Tribolium castaneum: one gene and its partners. The protein of the gene in region 1 purifies or fractionates together with the protein of each later gene. This does not show direct contact. Links are inferred from orthologs where the notes say so. Each region holds a gene or a part of one and is shown in the gene's direction. Other genes may lie near its edges. The genes, in order: Sf3b2, Sf3b6, U2 snRNP-associated SURP motif-containing protein, splicing factor 45, dnaJ homolog subfamily C member 8, U2A and Phf5a.

Region 1 (4,215 bases):
TTTTTTTCTTTTTTCGCCGTTGAAGCAACAAAATTAAATTTGGGCAAATCAATGGTAGGACTGATCTTCTCTGTAGTAGTCTTTTCCTGCACTTCAATGTAGCTTGAACTTCCCTCATCTTCATTCACAGGACTCAAGTTTACAGACTTGCAATTTTCAAAAGATTTTGAATCTTCAATTTCCCTAAACGAAGAAAACTTTCCTTTCCCACTTTCGTCCGCTTCCAAAGAAGACAAATTCTGTTTTTTGGTCTTTGGTGTCTTGCTTGAAGCAACAAAATTGGGGAAAGTACCATTGCTAGGACTATTTTTCTCTGTAATACGTCCATCTTGTGTACTCTTCTCGTTGACTTCAATGTAGCTTGAACTTCCCTCATCTTCATTTAAAGGGCTCAAATTTACGCTCTTGCAATTTTCTGACGGTTCTTCAAGAGATTTAAAATCTTCAATGTCTCTAAACGAAGAAAACTCTCCTTTCCCACTCTGTCTTTTGACCTTTGGTGTCTTGCCATGTTTATTTTCTTTTTTCACGTGTCCATCTTGAGCCATTTTCTCCGTGACTGTGATGAAACGTGAACTTCCCTCACCATCACTCACAAGATTTACAGAATTTTCGGAAGATTTCTCCTTCAAACTTTTTGTAGTGAGATCTAATGTCTCATCATTGCACTTGTCTTCCAGTTCACATTGCTTGGTACTCCTAAGAACTCTCTTAGCTTTGACGATTTTTCTTTTATTTTTTGGTACAGGTGGCGGCGAGATTTTTTGAACTTCCTTGAACAAAAAAGGGCTTCCTTTGTCACTTTTCCCGCTCTCATCGAACTCCAAACGAGGCAAATTCTGTTTATTATGCTTTGACGACGTTGGCTTAATATTTTCGTCTTCTTTTTCCACTGCAGAAGCATTAAAACTGAAGAAAAGCAAATCGTTCGTTTTTCTGACTTTTCGTCCACTTCTTGTTGCTTTGGCACTGCTTAAGGGGCCACTGGTGCTTTCCATTTCAGGTGGATTTAGTTTTTTATTTAAACGTCTGCTGGACCTCACTGACATTTTAATGCAAGCTATAAAACAATTTTTATGTAATTTTCGTATCAAAAAAACTCGGTTTTTACCTTTAACGTTGTGTTAAATCCAATTATTCGCTTTTTATAGTAACTTTACAGTAAACAAGGCACACAAATGACAAACCGACAACAAAACCGTTTTTTTGAATCTGACATTTGAGATTGAGATGCGTGATTGGTCCAAATTAGATTGGCATCTTGTTTGAAAAATAAATTGATTAAATATTTATAAATTATTGTATTTACAAGATGTTAATAGAGAAAGTTGTAACTAACTGGATAAATAACTACTACATTTGATTTATTCTGTATGAAAATTTTGGGAAATGTTTTCGCTTTTGCAGGAAATCGAGCTGTCGCGATTACGGTCGCATTCGCTCTAATTCCAAACAAAAATGTCGACCGAAACGTTGCTGAATGCCGCAATAAATTATTAATAATATTAAAAGTTTGCGGTTTTTCCTCATTGTAGATAAAATTTAACAGACTATCTGTTATAGTAAGTTCGCTTCTTGCTTTGATTCAAACATTTTTTAAGAAATTAGTATGAGAAAGAGGTTATATCAAATTGAGAAAAGTGCTTTTTAGTGTTAGAACAATTCCATAATCCCGTCTCCTTTCAGCTTACGGCTGCAACAAGCACTGATTCTACTGACAAATGAATCCGGATCAGCTACAAGAGGGTGTCCCGGAGCACCCTGTGCCCCACCAGGAAGGGATGTTTGGGTCAGGTATGCAAGGGTGGGCTGGTGAACATGGTAATTGATTGTTTTCAACCAGTTTGTTTATATCGCATTGGACTATTTCAGGTGTTGGTGGTGAAAAACAACTCCCCTCATTGCTATCCCTAAAAGTGGATCCTCCTGATCAGATGATGGAGACGCCACCAACTGAAGTTGTTTTACCTCAAGTGTTGGAAGAGGTGTTGGCGTTAAAAAATCAGAGAGCGCGTGAACTAGAACGAGAAGAAACGGAAACAGTAGTTCAACAGCCGCAGACTCCTAGAGAGGCGCTTTGGGAGAAAGATGACAATATTGTAGCTTTTTTAATTTTTTGTATGAATATAGTTATAACGATTGTTTTTTTAGGAACCCGTGGTTGAAAATGAAGAAGAGAGTCAGGTGAAAGAGACCACCAAAATCAGTAAGAATAAAAAGAAGAAGAAAAGGAAGAAGAACAAGAAAAACAGGGAGAATGAACAGAATAAAGCGGCTGAAGAGGAGGAGAAAAAGGATGGGCAAGAGGATGGGAATACAGATGTGGAAGTTGAGTAGGTGTTTTTTCTATTTGTTTGACAAAATTGTTATGAGTTTAATTAAAGGTACGTCCAAGAGACGATTAGTCTTCTTGAACTGGCTCCACAATACCGGCAGTTTTATAGCATTTTTGACGTGTTTAAAATAACTGATCAAAAGCATGATATCCCACCCCCAGTTCTGGCAACGCCAACATCATTGTCAAGTAAATCAATGTTAAATAGCATAGGAGATCACTTTCAGGAAGAAATGGAAGATGGGGACGACGTAAGTGTTGTATTACATTATGAATAAAAAATATGTATCTATTTTTTTTTCAGAAAAAGCTTGACGATAAGTCAAAAATGTCCAAAAGAAAGCTTAAAAAATTGACGCGACTTAGCGTCGCCGAGCTTAAACAACTAGTCAGTAGACCAGACGTTGTAGAAATGCACGATGTAACAGCCAGGGACCCAAAATTGTTGGTCCAATTGAAAGCTCACAGAAATACCGTTCAGGTAACGATTATAATTTTCTCAAAAATTAAAAGTAATGCAGCCATTCCATGATTACGGACGGCACATAACTATTATTTTAAAAATGGCTTATTAAAAAAAAAAGATGGATTAACAATTTAAATTCATTTTGCCACTTCTAAAAGTTGTTATAAATAATTAGTTACGGATGGGACACAAAAAATTATGCTTTGTAACAATTTTATTATAACACGAAAATGTTAACAAAATTCAGGAACTACTAACAATTAATAAAAAAAGAGAATACCTTTTATTAAATTATTATTAAGAATAGAATTAAGTCGTAAGCTTTGGAAAAATAATTTTCGTCACTACTTCCAATTTGAAAACTCTTAATTTTGCGCACATATAGAATTCTGTAGCATTATTAATTATTATTTTCTTTAGACGAACTTTGTTCCAAACTAAACATTTTACTGAACGCATAAGAAGCAAGGATTTGAATTTTTTATTAAAAAGTGATGTTTTGGAACAAACTTAACAGATTTTTCATAATAATAAAGCAGATGAAAATATATGCGGAGTTAGCAATTGGCTGAATAATGTGTTTTTCAGGTACCACGTCATTGGTGTTTCAAACGAAAGTACTTGCAAGGTAAACGTGGTATAGAGAAACCACCTTTTAATCTTCCAGATTTCATTAAAAGGACTGGAATCATGGAAATGCGTGCGTCATTGCAAGATAAGGATGAATCCAAAACACTCAAAGCTAAAATGCGGGAAAAGACCAGACCCAAACTTGGAAAAATCGATATTGATTATCAAAAATTACACGACGCATTTTTCAAGTACGTTTTTTTTATTTTTGATAAAAGCTAAAATTGCTATTGTTTGTAATTGTGTATTCGTAGAGATTGGGAATAATTGAAAAAGATAGACAGCTGTTTATTTAGAATTTTTTTTATAATCTCATTGTTATTGTTAGGTGGCAAACTAAACCCAAAATGACCATCCATGGGGACCTTTATTACGAGGGCAAAGAGTTTGAAACCAGATTGAAGGAAAAAAAGCCTGGAGATTTATCAGAAGAATTAAGAACGGCCTTAGGAATGCCTGTGGGCCCTAACGCTAATAAAGTACCCCCACCATGGTTGATTGCAATGCAACGTTATGGTCCCCCACCCAGCTACCCCAACTTGAAAATTCCGGGATTAAATGCCCCCATCCCTGATGGTTGTGCCTTTGGGTACCATGCCGGTGGGTGGGGAAAACCACCGGTGGACGAAAATGGAAAACCATTGTACGGTGATGTGTTTGGAACAAATGTTACCAACATAGATGTAAGTATTTTATAATATTGTTTTATTGAATTTTGTTCAAATATCAATGTTTAGGACATTGGTGAGGACCCTTCCGTGGATCGCACCCTCTGGGGCGAGCT
Region 2 (2,518 bases), on another chromosome or scaffold:
AATGATTTAGAAAAATTGCGTCGACAAGACATTGCCCAACATGTTCGAGCAGCGGCCGGAGTGGCAGCAGAGCAATTACCAGACTATTTAAACGAATGTTCCATTGTGTATTTACCAGAAATGGGACATTTGGTTGCGATAAACGAATGGAAACCGAATTGCGATCCCGAGGAATTGAAAGATTTAGGATTTCAATTCATGGTAAGAAAATTCCTAAGGCGATTTATCACTTATTGGGTATTTTGTAGTTCACGTTGCGTGGAACAATCCATTACAAGAATCCACTATGTTTAGGTATAAAAAATTTAAATTTATTGTTTTTCTATCATTTTAATTTAGAATTGGACGAAAACCTTGGCGACATTAATGCCGAAATAATCGCCCACGAAAATCGCATTTTGCAACGCCTTTCCTCCTTCATTCTCAAATACAACAAGGATATTAGAGAGCCTCTTAGAGTCTTATCGCTGTTTGATGCGTACGATTTTATTGATTTTTTCTCCCAATTATACACAATTTTTAGTTTGATAGCAATAGCGAAAGTCTCGGCACAAAATAATTACGTCCGACCTGCTTTAAACAACCAAAATATGCACGAAATCCGCGAGTGTCGTCACCCTCTCCTCGAGCTGGTCTCAAATTTCGAGCCCAATGACTTTTGCTCGGGGAATCACCACAGTCACATTAAAATAATCACGGGGCCTAACGGCAGTGGCAAAAGTGTGTATTTGAAGGAAGTAGCCCTCGTTATTTACTTTGCCCACATTGGCTCCTACGTGCCTGCCAGGAGCGCCAACATCGGGATTTTGCATTGCATACATTCCAGAATGCAAGCGACGGAATCGGCAGCCGTGCGCCTATCTGCATTTATGATTGACGCAATCCAGGTCTGTATAAAATTTTGCGAAAAAATTAATCGTAAATTAGGCCACGCAAGCGATTCATAACGCGCGCCACAACTCTCTGATCTTATTGGACGAGTTTGGCCGGGGAACCACCGTGGAGGATGGACTTGCTTTACTGGTCGGCTTTCTGGCCGACTTTCACAAACAAGGCAATAACTGCCCTCACATACTTGTCTCGACGCACCACCAAAGCATTTCTGATTTTTTACCGGAAGATGGTGTTGTTGAATATTTGAAAATGGCACATTCGGAGGAAAATGGGACACTTTTGTTCCTTTATAAAGTGGCGAAAGGTGTTTCGAGGAGTTTTGCGATAAAAATTGCGGCCGAAGTTGGCGTGGATGCGAGTATTATCAAACGGGCAAACGAATTGTTTGAAAAAAAGAAAACAGTCACGCCATTAGTCCGTTGTGAGAGTTATCCGGCTTCCGTTAATGATAGTGCGTTGATTGCGTTTTTAAAAGATGTTAATATTCCGGAACCAGATGAGGCATAATTGTGTTTGAATATCCCGCTTTAGTTTTGTTAATTGTTGGGTTGGTACGTGTTACGTTGGCGATCGTGTTGTTCAGTCAATAAAAACGTTTGTGTGAGTTTGTTTTTGTATTTAATTCATTGAAGCAAATTAAAAAAACGCCACAATGGCTTTGGCTATGCAAAGAAAGGCAAACGTAAGTCGTTAAATACCAAAAATTTGACCCAAAAAATGTTTTTTTTTATAGGTTAGGTTGCCCCCAGAAATCAACCGAATTCTCTACATCCGCAATCTCCCCTATAAAATAACAGCCGAAGAAATGTACGATATTTTCGGTAAATATGGGGCTATCAGGCAAATCCGCGTCGGTAATACCCCGGAAACTAGAGGCACAGCTTTTGTGGTTTATGAGGACATTTTTGACGCAAAAAACGCTTGTGACCATTTGTCCGGCTTTAATGTTTGTAATCGGTATTTAGTGGTTTTGTATTATCAGGCGAGTAAAGCGTTCAAGAAGACCGATATTGAGAAGAAACAGGAAGAGATTGATAAGATGAAATCAAAATACGGAATTAATACGTAAACATATTGTATTGTACATAATTTTAAGCTTTTTAAATAAATAATTACAATGAGAATGATTTTTATATCTAACGCAATTAAATCTCCCTTTAAATTCCCTTTCAATTCAGGGTGAGTCTGCTAAGAGTTTTTTTTTATGGGTACAAATTAAATGCACAGTATTTTATTTAAACGACAAGTATTTTTGATCAGTAAAAATAATAAACGCACAGTAAAAATAATAAACGCACAGTTAAAATAATAAATGCACAGTAATAATAGTAAATGCTCAGTAAAAATAGTAAATGCTCAGTAAAAATAATAAATGCACAGTAGATAATAGCATCTCAAAAATCGTTCGCGGGATATGTTTCGTTTTAGTTCGATGGGGCGAAGCCCCAGCCTGCAGGCTATCTATTGAGCGTTTATTATTTAAACCGTGTAAACTGAAACTAGATACTGTGCATATACGATTTTTTTACTGGGTAAATTTTAATAAAATACTGTGCGTGGTTTTGTCATTTAAATTTTTTACTGAGTAAAAATGGATTAAATACTGATCATTTATTATTTCTAC
Region 3 (2,670 bases), on another chromosome or scaffold:
GATGCCCGATGAACTAGTGAACGACGACGAGGGTAAAGAGAGTACGAAAGGCTCCCTCTCTAACACGTACGTAACGCGTGAAAATATGCAAAAACTAAGATTTGATTTACAGGCAACGAGACCGCTTGGAAGACCTGATACGGTCCCTAACCCCCGAACGGAGCAAAATCGGCGAAGCTATGGTCTTCTGCATTGAACACAGTGACGCTGCTGAGGAAGTGGTCGAGTGTATCACCGAATCACTATCAAACTCCTCAACCCTCATCACGAAAAAAATCGCCAGACTTTACCTCGTGTCGGATATTTTGCACAACTGCGGCGTCAAAGTCAACAATGCGTCTTACTACCGCAAGGCGTTTGAGTCAAAACTTGTGGATATAATGACCGAAGTGAAGAAGTCCTACGACAAGTTGGAAGGGCGGTTGCAGGCCGAGGGTTGCAAGCTGCGCGTTTTGCGGATATTGCAGGCGTTGGACGACTCGATTTACCACAAGGATTACGTGAACAAATTACGAACCGTGTTTTTGGGTATCAAGGAACCGGTCAGGGTAAAAAAGAGTGGGGTTTTGCGGGTTAGTGTTTCACGCTTGTGTTGTTAGGAACCTAAAGAGGACCCCGCTGTTGAGTCAAATATTGATATAGACGGCGATCCGTTGCAAGACCAGCCCGAAACCGACGATGATGTGCCAATGGATGGAGCAACGTTGCTGAAAAGTGCAATGAAACGGTACAAGAACACCACGATTTCGAATGATGATATTGACGGGAAGGAAATTGTCGATGATCCGAACGATGTTGTGCTTAATCAGAAGAAACCACCCGCGCCTTTGTCCGGTTTTATTATGTCAAAGTGGGAAACAATCGACCCGGAACAAGTCGAAGCGCAAGCGATGACCACAAGCAAGTGGGACTTGCTGGGAAGTAGCGCTGATCCCAGTCAGGATGGTTCCTCAAACGACAAGGACGATTCCAATGATTATACCGACACGAGGTTACGTTTTTTGATATCTCTTCATAAATATTTTTACTGTGATCACCATATTAAAGAGTTTTTTTGTCCCTTGACGTGATAACAAAAATATTTCTAAAAAATTATTTTTGCATACCGATTTTTGGAAATACGTTTGCAAAAAATGCTTTATTATTTTCTTTATGCAAGTGATTTTTTTCTATAATTCTATAGATACATATAATTCCAATATTTAATACATTTAAATATTCCAAGTTTTAAGAGTGATTTTCTCCTTGGTCAATTTTTTGTCCCAATTTTAGAAATATGACGGAAGAAAGAAGGAACAAATTGCGAGAAATTGAAGTGAAAGCCGTACAGTACCAAGACGAATTAGAGTCAGGCCAAAGAGCTTTGAAAACCGGGTGGACCTTACCACAACAAGTGGAACACTATCGAAGAAAGTTACTAAAGAAGAGCGAGAAAGAAAGGAAGGAGAAAGACCCGAAAAGCGACAAACACAAAAAAGATGACCGGAAAGAGGACAGCTCAGAGGACGAATTATATTACAAAGAGCTGTAAGTAGAACAATTCAAACAACCGTCAACTAACAAGATCCTTACTAATTTTGTAGTAAATCTAGGAAATCAAAAAAACTTTCGCGCAGCTCGTCAAGCGGTTCCACGTCCAAACACAGGTAAAATTTTATGCTTTACATTATTTTCCCAATAACTACTGTATATCCTAGGTCGAAAAGTCGTTCGCCTCCGAGGAAGAAAGCTTTTCGAGGGCCGAGTCCGCCCAGCCCCCCTCACATCCGGCGTCAGTCGCCCTCCTCGTCCCGATCCCGCAAGTCCAAAGATTCCCTCTCTCCGATTAGTTCCTCAAATGGTAAATATGGTTCACCAGCTCGTGTGGCGAAAAGTCGGCGATCACCGTCACCTTCACGTACAAAAAGTAATCGTAGATCGACTTCTCCGCGAAATCGGAGATCTCCGTCTCCGAGAAGTCGTCGTGGGAGCACGTCACCGTACCGGTCCAGGTATCACTCGCCGGAGTCTTCAAGAAAACATCGACACAAACACAAATACTGAGAGCGATATTTTATTACGAATAATTGAGGTATTGAACACACGCTCAATAATATTGAAAGGAGTTTATTATGTTGTCTTCAATTACTTTTTTTCTTTTACAAATACAATGGATCTTTACGCCTTCGAAGTTAGCGTTGTTTTGTTTTTTTTATGTAAATCCAACACTAAATAAAAGAAATCACTTGAAAAACCGCTTTATTTTCATAGAAACACAACAAAGTATAAATCAGCAACTAGCTACTTACGCAAGTATTATAAATAAATACAAAAAGAAAACAACAAATCTATCCAAAATTAGGCATTTTTGTTACGCAATATAACTGCGTTAATATGGCACGTTAAACGAAAAAACAGGCTGTTTTGAACACTCTAAATGAAACACAATTATTTCTTCGATTTCGATTTCTTTCCACCTCCACTTCCTTTACGAGGTGGAGGAGTGGGCGATGCTACAGATGCGGCACCTTGTGCTGTTTCAGGTTTCGACTGTTTTGATTCAGGTTTGCCTTTTCCAGCTTCCGCAGGCGCAGCTGCGGCTGGAGGCGGCTGTTGTGCAACCGCAGCTGGAGCTGTCTGTGGTGTTTGTTGTTCTGCAGCTGCAACTGGCGGTGTTTGCGGTGCAGCAGG
Region 4 (3,037 bases), on another chromosome or scaffold:
CAAGGGCCGCTTTTTTCGTTGAAAATTTCCCAATATATTCCTCAATTGAATTACCCCTAAATTTCTCCCCATGTAACTGGGCGTAAAGCTCAACCAAAGCATTGGCCTCATCAATATGCTCGCTTTCAATGAGGTCAAGTAATAAATTATCAATCATTTTATGCCAAGCGATAAAGAAGGCAAAACTACCAAAATGTCTAGTAGACCTAATATCCTCAAATTTATTATTTTCGTTAATGTGTTGGTACGTAACTGAGCAAACTTTCTGGTAGAATTCATCGTTGGGCTCAAACTGCAAGCACGCCCTGTCTAGAATAAAGTTATATTCGCCCCTCTTTAACAAATCGTCTAATTTATCATCCTCGAACATTTTCGGGGGCGTAACTTGCCTCCGAGCTACGGGGAAATACATTTGATTTATTCTATCGCGCGTCGCCCAATCGGCGTCCCTCAACGTCCCCTCAGTGTCCCTCACAAGAATAATCCGCTCAGAATCGGGAACACCGTACGAAATATCAGTAAAAATATAATTAGAGGAGTCCAAACCTTGCAAAGCTGGATCTCGCGACACGACTTTATCGCGAGGTTTACGTACGGCAACAACTGGTGGTATCTGGAGGATTTCGTCAACTTTTCGTTTAGCTTCATCCAAAGCCTCTTGGAGTTGTTCATCAGTCATGAATTTGTAAACTGGTTGTTCTAATTGTCTCCCGCCCAGTTTCCTTTTCCTGTAAACTTTGGCCAAATCTACGCGAGTTAGAGTCGTGAGAAGGGTCTGCACTTCTTTCTTGATGAAAATGGGGCCCGGGTCCGGATTCCCATCTAGAAATCGTGGCCACTTAACCTCGAACTTTTGATTACTTGTTTAAACAATAATACCGTACGGCATGGGTGTGTAACTCAACAGGCGGACGCAGACCACATAGTTGTTGCTCACTGGTGCCCTTATGTCGGTTTTTAATGTACTTGAGAGCAGTTTTTTTGAAAAATAGCGAAACGCGGCCATTTCGGGTTACACGTTTCGCGACTGATTGTTCCCGCCACCGAAAGGTGTCCAAATCGAACGTGCTTTCACGGGCAAAAAAAAACCACCATAATCTCTGCCATAACTTAGATTTTTATACCACGCTTCATTAGCAAAGCACTGGTGGTAATTTCTTGCAGGATTGTTGTTTTTGCGAGCAATCACACGTTTTTCTGACGAAACAGTTTTCGGTAACTTGGGCTTGACTTGACAAGAAGCATAAATATAACCTTAGTTTTGTGGTTCACAGATTTGTTATTTTGAGTGTAACTGATGTTATTTTAACATAATTGGACATGTCTCTGTACGACGACCTGGACGTGAAGGCCCGCGCCACGGAGAAGGTCTCCGGCTGGTCCTCCGGAATCAAACTCCTCCAGTCCCAACTCCAGCTCAAAAAGGCCACAGTAACGCAACCAAAGCGCGAACAACAACGCAAAGTTAGTTTAGCCCCCGTGATAGACTTGAAAAGCAAACGGGACGACGACGACATTTACCCAACGTATCAAAAAGTTAAAAATGAGCCAAGTCTCCCCACACTTAGTTCCTCGGTAACTTACGGTATTGAATACGACTGGAACGTGGACGACGAGTACGACCCTCTATGGCCAAATGAGTTCGATAAAGTCGTGAAAGAATTGCGCGAAAATCGCGAACGAGAAAACGATAAGGAAGAAAAACGGCGAGAGAGGAAACGCAAGTCACGTTTTAGCGACCCTGAGGAGTCGCTCGTGATCCCCACACCACAAATAACACAACCACCGCTTGCTAGCGGATTTGCCGGAAGATGGGCCGAAGAAGACGACGAAATAGAGCCTGTGCAAGCCAAACCCCGGGCTTCAGGTGTGGCAATTGCGCCCCCGCCCAGCCTTCAGGAACCGGCAGAATCCGCCCCAATTTTCCCCAATAAGCCCCCAACTCCCGCCGCCAATTTCGGCTCTTCCGTGGCCGCCAAAATTATGGCGAAATACGGCTTTAAAGAGGGTCAAGGTTTAGGCAAGCAGGAGCAAGGCATGGCGAGTGCTCTCCAAGTGGAGAAGACTTCAAAACGGGGCGGGAGGATTATTCACGAGAAGGAAATTATGGCAGCAGCGACAGCGTCGCCGGTTCTTGAAACACCAGCAAATACACAACAACAAAGCATTACTGAAATTATTAAAAATCCCAGTAAGGTTGTGCTACTGAAAAATATGGTAGGGCCGGGTGAAGTTGACGATGATTTGGAGCCGGAAGTCAAAGATGAATGTAATACGAAATATGGGGAGGTTACAAGCGTAATTATTCATGAAACTCAAGCGGAGAATCCTGAAGAGGCTGTGAGGATTTTTGTGGAGTTTAGGAGGATAGAGAGTGCGATTAAAGCAGTGGTGGACTTGAATGGAAGGTTCTTTGGGGGAAGGCAAGTCAAGGCCAGTTTTTATGACACTGAGAAGTTCGATAATCTTCAGTTGATGGACTAAGTGTTTGTATTGTTTTTTATTTACAAAATAAATTAATGTACGGAATAAATAAATATTTGTCTTGTTAATAAAATGCACAAAATGAATCATTTAAAAATAGAAAAAAAATGCATATTTAATATCAAGCGCTTTTAAACTAATGGTCCTGTGTGAGCATTACGTGAATGAAATGTGTGGAACTAAGCGTTTCTTGCCTAGGACAAAATAATTACTACATCAAGTCCGAAAAAAATGTGATCACGTTTAAGAATAACATTTTTCGAGAATCTTTTTAGTTTTCGAAAAATTTTATTCTAAAAATGACTTCTACTTCATTATTGTTTTTAACTTCATACTGTTCGTTTACAATAAAAGCGACCTATTTTTTACTCAATGGCCACTCAATTTCGCAGTAGAAAAAAATACGTATGCACCTCGTTACACATTTTTGCTCCTCAGCCTGTCGTTGGCGCGTGCACTTTCATATGCGTGTTAAGAGTATTACTTTGCGTGAAACTCATACCACAAATACTGCAAGTGTAGGGCCTTTCCCCTGTATGTATCCTCACATGTA
Region 5 (3,115 bases), on another chromosome or scaffold:
AAAACGTTGTGAAGTAGGTAATTAAAACAGTTATTCGTAGGTGGAAAGAGATTCTCAAACGAACAACCTTCACATTTCAAGGCTATATTCTACATAATGCCTCTGGCAACAGAAAATGTGTAAGGCCACGTCTAAAATTAAACGCACGCATGATTAAATTTCACGTTTAGCGAACTTCCTCATTTTAAAATTATAACTCTGTTAAAATCACACATCAAATCAAAAATGACACGGAAATCCATTATTTTCTCTTTAATGATCACAAAAAATTTGGCACTTGCGGACCAGTAAAATATCTTGTCGCATTTATTTAGCTTTGGGTTTGCTTATAGACATATTCGTGTCAGTAGTGCTATAATTAATACAAGAATCCGCCAGTGTATAATAGGCTTAGTTTATATAATTGCCCTAATCTAACTAATTGGAGCCTCTTTTCAATTTCAAATTCACTAACTGAAAGACCATTTTTTTCGTTTAACGATTTTTCAAAACCGACTCGCTTGCTCTGATTCTTCATGTTCAAGCGATTTATAAACTGGAACATACGTCATTGGTTTCTTATTTGGTAATCGTGGAATTTACCACCGCCGACCAGTTGATTGCAATTAAATCAAAGTCCTTAGGAAAAATATGGCTCGCTCCATACTTCCGAACCCAAATTTATATTCAATAAAATAAAATTATCTTGTTTTCTTTTGTCTAATAACTCCGTTATCACGATAAAATAAAACCACATTACCTCAAATAAAAGGTTTATCTTGGTCTAATGTCCGTGACTAGTAAAGTTTATTGCAAGGGTTGTTGAGAAAATAATCTTTTTGGTAATAGCCACTGCGTCTATCTTGCCGGCAAACATGCACTTTCGTGCTGAGATAATTGTTGCATTCATCAAAAAACTCGCCGACCTATCCCAATAAAAATAATGTTCCAAGCGTAACGAAAGTGCATCAAGTAAATATTGCAAAACAAAAACGCTTTGCATAATTCATACGAAAACACAAAATTTTGCAGCGTTTTAACGCCGCACCCGCTGGTAATTTTGTTCAAAACCAGACAATGATGAATAAAACGCGATAATTTGCCTCGAATGTCTGGCCTCCAGTATCATCGTTTTTATTTGACCTCTAAAGTTACATTAATATTGTTAAGTGTGTAGATATCAACTCTTATCGAGCTTATCAGAATATCCACATTGTGTTATGGCAGCATAAATGAAAATTACTAATTCCAGCAATTTGACAACAGCGTATCACTTTTTCATAAAGTTTTACAAAAACAATCGGAGCAGTATTTTAAATTTTGGCGCAATATTTTGGTAATTCAATTGAGGCGACATCTCAAGCCGGGAGTGGGTTTCATGACGACCGGGTACAGGAATCTATCTGTTCGTCGGTAATTCAGAACTGCCACCAGCTTCACGAAAATTATCATAGACGGAAGACTCAAAATGCGTCAAAAAAGATCCATTCCTCCATCATAAAAATAACAACAAACTTAAAAATAGTGCACATTGTTAAAACACGCGAAAATGGCAGAGAAGAGCCCGAAAGAGGACCCAAAATTCGACGAGTTCTACACAGAGGTAAGCTCTCTGTTGGGCCTTTCTTTGAGACAACTCTGTGTTTGTCCCAATTTTTAGGTGAAAGAAATCGAAAAACGTGACTCTGTTCTAACTTCTAAGCAACAAATTGAGCGTCTTTTGCGCCCCGGCTCCACCTATCTCAACCTAAACCCGTTTGAAGTGCTACAAGTTGAGCCTGAGACCCCCATTGAGGAGGTGAAGAAGCAGTACCGAAAGCTGTCGTTTTTGGTGCATCCTGACAAGAATCAGGACGATGCCGAACGGGCGCAACAGGCTTTTGAGGCAGTGAACAAGGCCTGGAAGATCTTGAACAATCCTGAGACCAGGCAAAAGTGCATGGACATTATTGAGGAGGCTAAGGGTAGAACCGACATTATGGTACGTATTTGAGGGTGGAGTGTTGTTTACGATGAAATAGCTTGAGACACGACGTTTTTGTATTAACATTGTTTGTAGCTTGCCGAGAAGCGAAAGAAATATAAAAAAGAAGGAAAAGACAAAATCCCAGAGGATGATCCTGATAAATACAAACATGCCGTTTATGTTCTCACAATGAAACTGTTTGCAGATATGGAAAGGAAACGGCGTGAATTAGCGGAAAGAGATCAGGAAGAGAGAAAGAGAAAAAGAGAACAGGAAATTGAGGAAGAAGAGAATCAGAAAGCTCAAAAAGAGTGGCAGAAGAATTTTGAGGTAACTACACCCACTGGTATTAACATGAGTTGAGCAAGTATAACATTTTTGTTGCAGGAATCTAGGCAAAATCGGGTTGAAAGTTGGCAGTCTTTCCAAGCCAATTCAAAATCAAAAACTAAAAAAGCGAGTAAAAAGATCAAAACGTTTAAACCGCCGAAAAATAAGCCAGAATCTAGATAATTTCATACTAACGTCATGTAGGATAGTTTATTCATTGATTTGTGTTGTAATTTGTTACTCTGGATGCACTTGTGTGTATACAAAACAGATCATATTATTTTATACTAAAATATTTTGTAGAATTATTTTATTTTAAAAATAAAGGATGTGTCTAAAAGTTTGGCGTGTTTGTAAGCGTCCTCAAATTTCCCCAAATTCCAAGCCATAAAGTATTAAATTAACATTTAATTTTTAATTTAAAGCGCGCACAAGACCTAGAACTCGATGTTTTTTAAATCGGCAAATCATCCAATTTTATTTTAAATTTAATAAGAAATCACATAACTATTTAACTTTTACAAGAAATAAAACTATGAACGATTACACTCATCTTTTTAAATAAAGATTAAAGACGATAGAAATTTAACAGACTTTATTAAACGAAATCCCATAAAATACTTACGTATTTGTACATAACTTTATTATTGTACATACATATTACGTTACATCTTAAATATATAAACACTATAAAAATAATTTTACGTATGTAAAGTGCAATACGTATTACATTTAAGAAATGCTCTAATTAGTTAAATTAATTAGTATTATTTGTCCACCAATAACCACTGAAGGTTTAGAGCATTCTTGCCAGGAAAAAAGAGAAGAAAGATGAGGTAA
Region 6 (2,915 bases), on another chromosome or scaffold:
TGATGTTATTTTATTAAATACTTTTTGAAACGAATTTCAAATCAGCGCGATCGGCTCGAAAGTTGACAATGCAGCTAATTATGATTCACCTTTTTGTAAACATGGAATTTAACTCAGGGGAAGTCCTTGCCTAAGGACTGCCGACCGGAAGCGAGCGCAGCCTTCTCACATATTTTCGGTAACGACCGCAGGCTGCATTTCCATAATTATTTAATAAAGTGGGATATTTATAGACGCTGTGTATGCAGCGCTGCTAAATTAGGCGATTTGCAGTACTGTTCCGAAGACACTCGCACTTTTATTCCAATTAGCATAAGTAAACAAGGCAACAATTGCATTCTTTCAGGTGGGTGGCATTATACAATTATTACACATTGCGTATTTAAAGTGGGTCCTTCAGAAATTTGTGATGTGAGAAACCTTTCCCTCAAGTACAATTCGGCTCACAATTAATTATCATCAGGTGGTAATAAATCTTATCGCGAAACGCGCATTCTTCAAGTCTCATTAGCTCGGAAAAGTCACAAGGAAATTTTCTTCCAGATTAAGAATGGAACGAGTTTTATCACTCATCGGCGCGTAATTGGTGTAAGTTCAATGGAAATAAACCCGTTCGGTTTGGATAAACATTTGTGACGTCAATGAATAATTTGGCTCTTGTTTTTTGCTCTAAGGGGAAGTGAAGAAGACAATGGCTTGATTCGTTTCACGAAATCATTTTTTGATTAATTAATGACGATGCGGGGAATCCGACAGATAATAATACTTCAAACGTACATTCCACACATTCATTGTGTTTTTCTTATTGTTTAGCAACTTTTTTTAGCCAGAATTAGCATATTTGTGACCAACACAAATCGCTGAAATAAGTGTTGGCAGACGTGTTTTTGTATATAGTGAAGCCTTTGAATCCGAGCCATTTTTGTTTGGGGTTTTCCCGATTATGAAATTAATTTTTTCTTACCTAATTAAAATAAATAAATAACTGAAGCAGGACTTTTTATTACAAAATACAATAATGTAACATACGGAGTATATTATCAAATTATCATTATCAGCTGTTAACAGTTAAAAGTAAGTTTGTTTTTCGGGTTAGAAGGGGTTCGGATTAACGACGTTTTCCTGTATTTTTTCATATTTAGATTCCATGTTTTGATACAAAAATTAAATTATTAATTATTTGGTCCCAATGATTGATATTTATTGCTTCATCTTAATTTTGGAAATTTTTGGAAATTCAGGGAAATTGCGTTTGGGGCGCTCTCTACAGGTATTCGTGTAACAATTACAGAAACCTGTAACGGTAGTCGGTGAAATTGATGGCTTGTGCGTTGTTTGTTTAATTGTAATTTTTCGCTAAAACCTAATTATGGTGAAGCTAACAGCCGAGCTGATTCAAAATTCCATGCAATACATAAATCCGGTAAAAGACCGCGAGTTGGACTTACGAGGTGAGGACCAAATGTAAAAAAGTTGGGTTAAGTCATCTTTTTTTAGGTTATCGCATCCCCGAAGTGGAAAATCTGGGGGCCACCGGTGACCAGTTCGACACAATTGACTTTTCGGACAATGATGTGCGCAAGTTGGATGGTTTTCCGTACTTGAAGCGGTTGAAATGTTTGCTTTTTAACAATAACCGTATTGTGTAAGTTGTGGGGTTTTTTCGTTTTTTTTTTTTGAGTTTTGGGGTTTTAGACGCATTGGGGAGCATTTGGAGGAGTACATTCCTAATTTGGAGACGCTGATTTTGACTGGGAACCACTTGGAAGAGCTGGGTGATATTGAGCCGTTGTGCACTTTGGAGAAGCTCACCACAGTTAGTCTTTTACATAACCCTATCACTTCCAAGCAGCATTACAGGCTATACCTAATTTATAAGTTACCGCAGTTAAGGTTGCTCGATTTTCGTAAAGTCACAGCTAAGGAACGGGAAGAGGCGAGGGCTCTGTTTAAGAGTAAGAAAGGCAAGGAGATTAGGAAAGAAATTGGGAAAAGGGCAAAGACGTTTATTCCCGGAGGTACAGGTAACAGTATTGCCAAAAGTAAAGGTACGTCTTACATTTTCTGTGAGTTTTATTTTTTCAATTTAATTATTTTTTCAAGGCCTTACAGACGAAGAAATTGCGAAAATTCGTGAAGCTATCAATAAGGCCAGTTCTTTGGAAGAGGTTGAACGGTTACAGAAGATTTTACAGTCTGGTCAAATTCCTGGTCAAGAAGAAATGAACGGTTAATTTTTTCTATGATTTATTGTGGGAAATGTAATATTTTTTTTCAGGATATCAAAATGGACAAAGTATGGAATATGAATAAGTTTGAGGTAATTTTCAGTCAGGTGTACAATTAATTAGTTTTATTTATAAGTTCCGGTTGATAAGAGTATTGTACTACACTAAATACAAGGTTGAGAAGCGAGCGGAATTAATTTTTCATTTTTTCTAATAAAGCAATACGTACAATAACTGGGTATTATTTCAATCTTTCCCGACTGAAACAATGCCTTTCTGGCAAGATTTATCTGTTTCAGAAATTAATTGAACGAAATAAGCTAACAACAAATTTTGTTTTGCAGCTAATTTTTCGAAGAAAATTAGTTTTTAGTTTTCACAGCGAGCAAAAGTAATGTTAATTACAGAAATAAACCAGTTTTTTAAATTTTGCGGATTTTAAATTTGTCTGTAAACATGTAAAAAATAAAAAATTGTTTTTATCTCAAAACCGTCTTGCGAATACTTTTTAGTGGCTACTCGTGTCATTTTAAGAGCGCCTTGGAAATTGTGTCTAAAGTGACCGAAATACTTTTCAAAGTGTGTGGTAATAGTGGTTTTAGAATATTTCAAAGTTCAAATAAATTTTTTCATTTCAGAATGTTTTAGTTGATTTGGAATTATTTCTATAACAATTCGCGTCACTTA
Region 7 (2,532 bases), on another chromosome or scaffold:
TGTATAATCGTTATTGTTGCCCTGTCAAGGTCCGTGTCGCTACTTTAGTATATCTACTGGCTTTGGTAAAGTAAAAATAATACATGCACAATCAATAATAGAATCTCAAAATTATGTAGAGAGTGTGGAATTCCACATTTTGAGTTTTACATTTTTGAGTTTAATTGTTGGAGGGGTATGTTTCCTTTTAGTTCGCTGGGGCGAAGCCCTAGCCTGCAAGCTAGCTACTGAGCGTGTATTATTTAAACTGTGCAAACTGAACAAGATACTGTGCATATACGATTTTTGTACTGGACAAATTTTAATAAAATACTGTGCGTGGTTTACTTGTCATTTAAATTTTTTACTGTGCAAAAATTATTAAAATACTGATCACTTATTATTTTTTACTGATCAAAATCGAATTTATTACTACCTAATATTTCTGAGCTTATTCAAATATTATGCAACCAACATTACACACATTCATTTCGGAAAAGTACTATTTTACGGACAATTAGTCAAGAGAAACATTCTTCACTTCAAGGAAGATGTGGTTTAAATACTCTTAGATGTAACATGTAGCTTCGCAGCAAAGATATTTTCAATAAAATTTTGAAACTCAAATCTCTTTATTTAAGATAAATCAATACAAAAATACCACTTATAAGGGTTTAATAAAAATCAATGTCCGGCAGTGAAATGTGCTCACTTTCATCGGTCATGTCGTAACTGTCTTCAGACTTTACAGAAAACTTGATAGTTTTCGGAATCTTAATAAACATATCAAAATCAACAGGTGATAACTTTGGAGATGGAGTCAACTCCTTGTAACCACAACATGGTCGCAGCTTGTTGAATTTTTCCTTTGCAGTAATTAATTTATCAGCAGCGCAATCATCTAAAACCAGAAATCAGATTTCGTCACACACAAATCTCGGTGAAAACCGTTCATATCCTTGAAGGAGTAAGTGTCGTAAATAAATAAGTCATCATCTTCTATGTCAATATTTTGCTCAGGCTTTTTCAGTTGCGGCTCGGGTTTCACATTTCTGCCAAAATCAGGCGTGTTTGCATTCACGGCTCGATCAAAAAACGGTTTTCTTGATAGGGTGTTAGTGGTTCTTGGCTTTTTTGCCACACTTCCAACGTCTAAAAACGACACTTGAAGATTATTTCACCGAACATCAAATACTCACTTTCTTGGGAGAAAACGTGGATTGCGGGTGAGGAAAACATCGAATTCATTGTTGAAATCGCTTCAGTTTCGGCAAATTGGAGCCTAACGTTCAAAGGGAATCAATCACTTTTTGATTTTTTATAGTAGTGTTGCCAACTTAACGAACTCAGCAACTTGATGAAATGAAATTACTAGTGTCTGGTGTCAAAATTTAAATTTATTTATTTATTTGTTGAATGTGGTCACGATTCTTAAGTTATATAGAAATTAGTTTGTGCTTCCGTAATACTCAAATCAAAATTCGACAATTAATTAATCATTTGACACGAAAATAAGAACGTCTAGCTGGCGTAACTGTCGACACTTCCAGTTCAACTGTCAACTGTTGTACACATAACCTAACAAATCTCGAAACAAAGCTCAACGTTTTCTCACGTTTTACGGTAAGTTCCTGAGTTTGGAATAACAGTATTGTTGAAACAAGATTTGTAGATCACTGAAGCATGGCCAAGCATCACCCCGATTTGATTTTTTGTCGCAAGCAGCCGGGGGTGGCCATAGGGAGGCTCTGTGAGAAGTGTGACGGAAAATGCGTTATTTGCGATTCGTACGTGCGTCCCTGCACTTTAGTGAGGATTTGTGACGAGTGTAACTACGGTTCGTATCAGGGCAGATGCGTGATTTGTGGAGGTCCAGGTATTTCAGACGCTTACTACTGTAAGGAATGCACAATTCAGGAGAAAGACAGGGATGGGTGCCCCAAAATTGTGAATCTGGGTAGTTCGAAGACTGACCTCTTCTATGAGCGTAAGAAATACGGGTTTAAGCGGCGCTAATGTGATTTTGTGTAATTAAAATAAATCATAAAATTTATTATCAGTCAGTCAATTTTCCTGTTATCATATTAAAAAAAATCTTTTTTTTAATTTTGTTTTTGCACTGTTTTCCTAGTTTTCTATAATGAAAAAATCAAGGAAAAAAAGTAGTTTAACGCGCGAGGCAATTCCGAGTATGATAATGTTTGTGAATAGACAAAATTTCATATTCATGTGTGCCATCTACAATATTTTTTACTGCCATCATATGATTTTGATAATGGCAGCGGCTTTTTGTCTTCGAAAAAATGACAAAAATTGACATGTTTTGAAGGATTTATTAGTGTCAGCGTCATATGTTATCAGCTTTGTTCGCGGAAGGTTTTTAGAACTAATCCTGAACTAGTCCAGGATTTATTTAAAGCGCGTGTGCGCTTCAGATTCAGTTACGGACTTTCGTCTACCGCGAACAATATTTTATCGTTATCAAGTTCTTAGTGAATGTTTAGAAACAAACAAGCCACCAAAAATTATCATAAAGTTAGAAATGGTATAAGT

The links.
Region 2: the proteins of Sf3b2 (region 1) and Sf3b6 fractionate together in Homo sapiens (co-fractionation; 5 studies listed by BioGRID and IntAct, with this or other methods). This does not show direct contact. The link is inferred for Tribolium castaneum from reciprocal best matches to the Homo sapiens genes SF3B2 and SF3B6.
Region 3: the proteins of Sf3b2 (region 1) and U2 snRNP-associated SURP motif-containing protein purify together in Homo sapiens (affinity purification with mass spectrometry; 3 studies listed by BioGRID and IntAct, with this or other methods). This does not show direct contact. The link is inferred for Tribolium castaneum from reciprocal best matches to the Homo sapiens genes SF3B2 and U2SURP.
Region 4: the proteins of Sf3b2 (region 1) and splicing factor 45 purify together in Homo sapiens (co-immunoprecipitation; 4 studies listed by BioGRID and IntAct, counting the BioPlex papers as one, with this or other methods). This does not show direct contact. The link is inferred for Tribolium castaneum from reciprocal best matches to the Homo sapiens genes SF3B2 and RBM17.
Region 5: the proteins of Sf3b2 (region 1) and dnaJ homolog subfamily C member 8 purify together in Homo sapiens (affinity purification with mass spectrometry; 3 studies listed by BioGRID and IntAct, with this or other methods). This does not show direct contact. The link is inferred for Tribolium castaneum from reciprocal best matches to the Homo sapiens genes SF3B2 and DNAJC8.
Region 6: the proteins of Sf3b2 (region 1) and U2A purify together in Homo sapiens (affinity purification with mass spectrometry; 5 studies listed by BioGRID and IntAct, counting the BioPlex papers as one, with this or other methods). This does not show direct contact. The link is inferred for Tribolium castaneum from reciprocal best matches to the Homo sapiens genes SF3B2 and SNRPA1.
Region 7: the proteins of Sf3b2 (region 1) and Phf5a purify together in Homo sapiens (affinity purification with mass spectrometry; 4 studies listed by BioGRID and IntAct, with this or other methods). This does not show direct contact. The link is inferred for Tribolium castaneum from reciprocal best matches to the Homo sapiens genes SF3B2 and PHF5A.

Annotation. Positions count from the first base shown.
Region 1 is NC_087396.1:14,198,314-14,202,528, reverse strand, and holds the start of Sf3b2 (splicing factor 3B subunit 2), read left to right. Parts: upstream 1-1,415; 5' UTR 1,416-1,562; intron 1,563-1,686; 5' UTR 1,687-1,721; coding exon 1,722-1,821; intron 1,822-1,872; coding exon 1,873-2,099; intron 2,100-2,151; coding exon 2,152-2,333; intron 2,334-2,384; coding exon 2,385-2,586; intron 2,587-2,639; coding exon 2,640-2,816; intron 2,817-3,389; coding exon 3,390-3,622; intron 3,623-3,759; coding exon 3,760-4,114; intron 4,115-4,168; coding exon 4,169-4,215. Other genes in the region: uncharacterized protein LOC103313715, read right to left, coding at 1-1,049. UniProt on the Homo sapiens protein: Component of the 17S U2 SnRNP complex of the spliceosome, a large ribonucleoprotein complex that removes introns from transcribed pre-mRNAs.
Region 2 is NC_087395.1:21,527,768-21,530,285, forward strand, and holds Sf3b6 (splicing factor 3B subunit 6), read left to right. Parts: upstream 1-1,417; 5' UTR 1,418-1,546; coding exon 1,547-1,576; intron 1,577-1,627; coding exon 1,628-1,963; 3' UTR 1,964-2,018; downstream 2,019-2,518. Other genes in the region: mutS protein homolog 5, read left to right, coding at 11-201, 249-294, 340-887, 928-1,401.
Region 3 is NC_087403.1:341,258-343,927, forward strand, and holds the end of U2 snRNP-associated SURP motif-containing protein, read left to right. Parts: coding exon 1-66; intron 67-112; coding exon 113-548; intron 549-599; coding exon 600-991; intron 992-1,272; coding exon 1,273-1,527; intron 1,528-1,583; coding exon 1,584-1,646; intron 1,647-1,697; coding exon 1,698-2,043; 3' UTR 2,044-2,170; downstream 2,171-2,670. Other genes in the region: proteoglycan 4, read right to left, coding at 2,428-2,670.
Region 4 is NC_087398.1:1,436,826-1,439,862, forward strand, and holds splicing factor 45, read left to right. Parts: upstream 1-1,189; 5' UTR 1,190-1,320; coding exon 1,321-2,484; 3' UTR 2,485-2,537; downstream 2,538-3,037. Other genes in the region: mRpS22 (small ribosomal subunit protein mS22), read right to left, coding at 1-822, 880-1,006; zinc finger protein OZF, read right to left, coding at 2,919-3,037. UniProt on the Homo sapiens protein: Splice factor that binds to the single-stranded 3'AG at the exon/intron border and promotes its utilization in the second catalytic step. Involved in the regulation of alternative splicing and the utilization of cryptic splice sites.
Region 5 is NC_087397.1:4,880,883-4,883,997, forward strand, and holds dnaJ homolog subfamily C member 8, read left to right. Parts: upstream 1-1,353; 5' UTR 1,354-1,528; coding exon 1,529-1,582; intron 1,583-1,639; coding exon 1,640-1,960; intron 1,961-2,038; coding exon 2,039-2,275; intron 2,276-2,332; coding exon 2,333-2,458; 3' UTR 2,459-2,615; downstream 2,616-3,115. UniProt on the Homo sapiens protein: Suppresses polyglutamine (polyQ) aggregation of ATXN3 in neuronal cells.
Region 6 is NC_087395.1:21,925,022-21,927,936, forward strand, and holds U2A (U2 small nuclear ribonucleoprotein A'), read left to right. Parts: upstream 1-1,283; 5' UTR 1,284-1,369; coding exon 1,370-1,451; intron 1,452-1,497; coding exon 1,498-1,645; intron 1,646-1,695; coding exon 1,696-2,048; intron 2,049-2,103; coding exon 2,104-2,229; intron 2,230-2,278; coding exon 2,279-2,313; 3' UTR 2,314-2,415; downstream 2,416-2,915. UniProt on the Homo sapiens protein: Involved in pre-mRNA splicing as component of the spliceosome. Associated with sn-RNP U2, where it contributes to the binding of stem loop IV of U2 snRNA.
Region 7 is NC_087395.1:6,324,863-6,327,394, reverse strand, and holds Phf5a (PHD finger-like domain-containing protein 5A), read left to right. Parts: upstream 1-1,449; 5' UTR 1,450-1,602; intron 1,603-1,643; exon of another isoform or gene 1,644-1,651; 5' UTR 1,652-1,662; coding exon 1,663-1,995; 3' UTR 1,996-2,032; downstream 2,033-2,532. Other genes in the region: uncharacterized protein LOC655475, read right to left, coding at 654-880, 928-1,131, 1,179-1,227.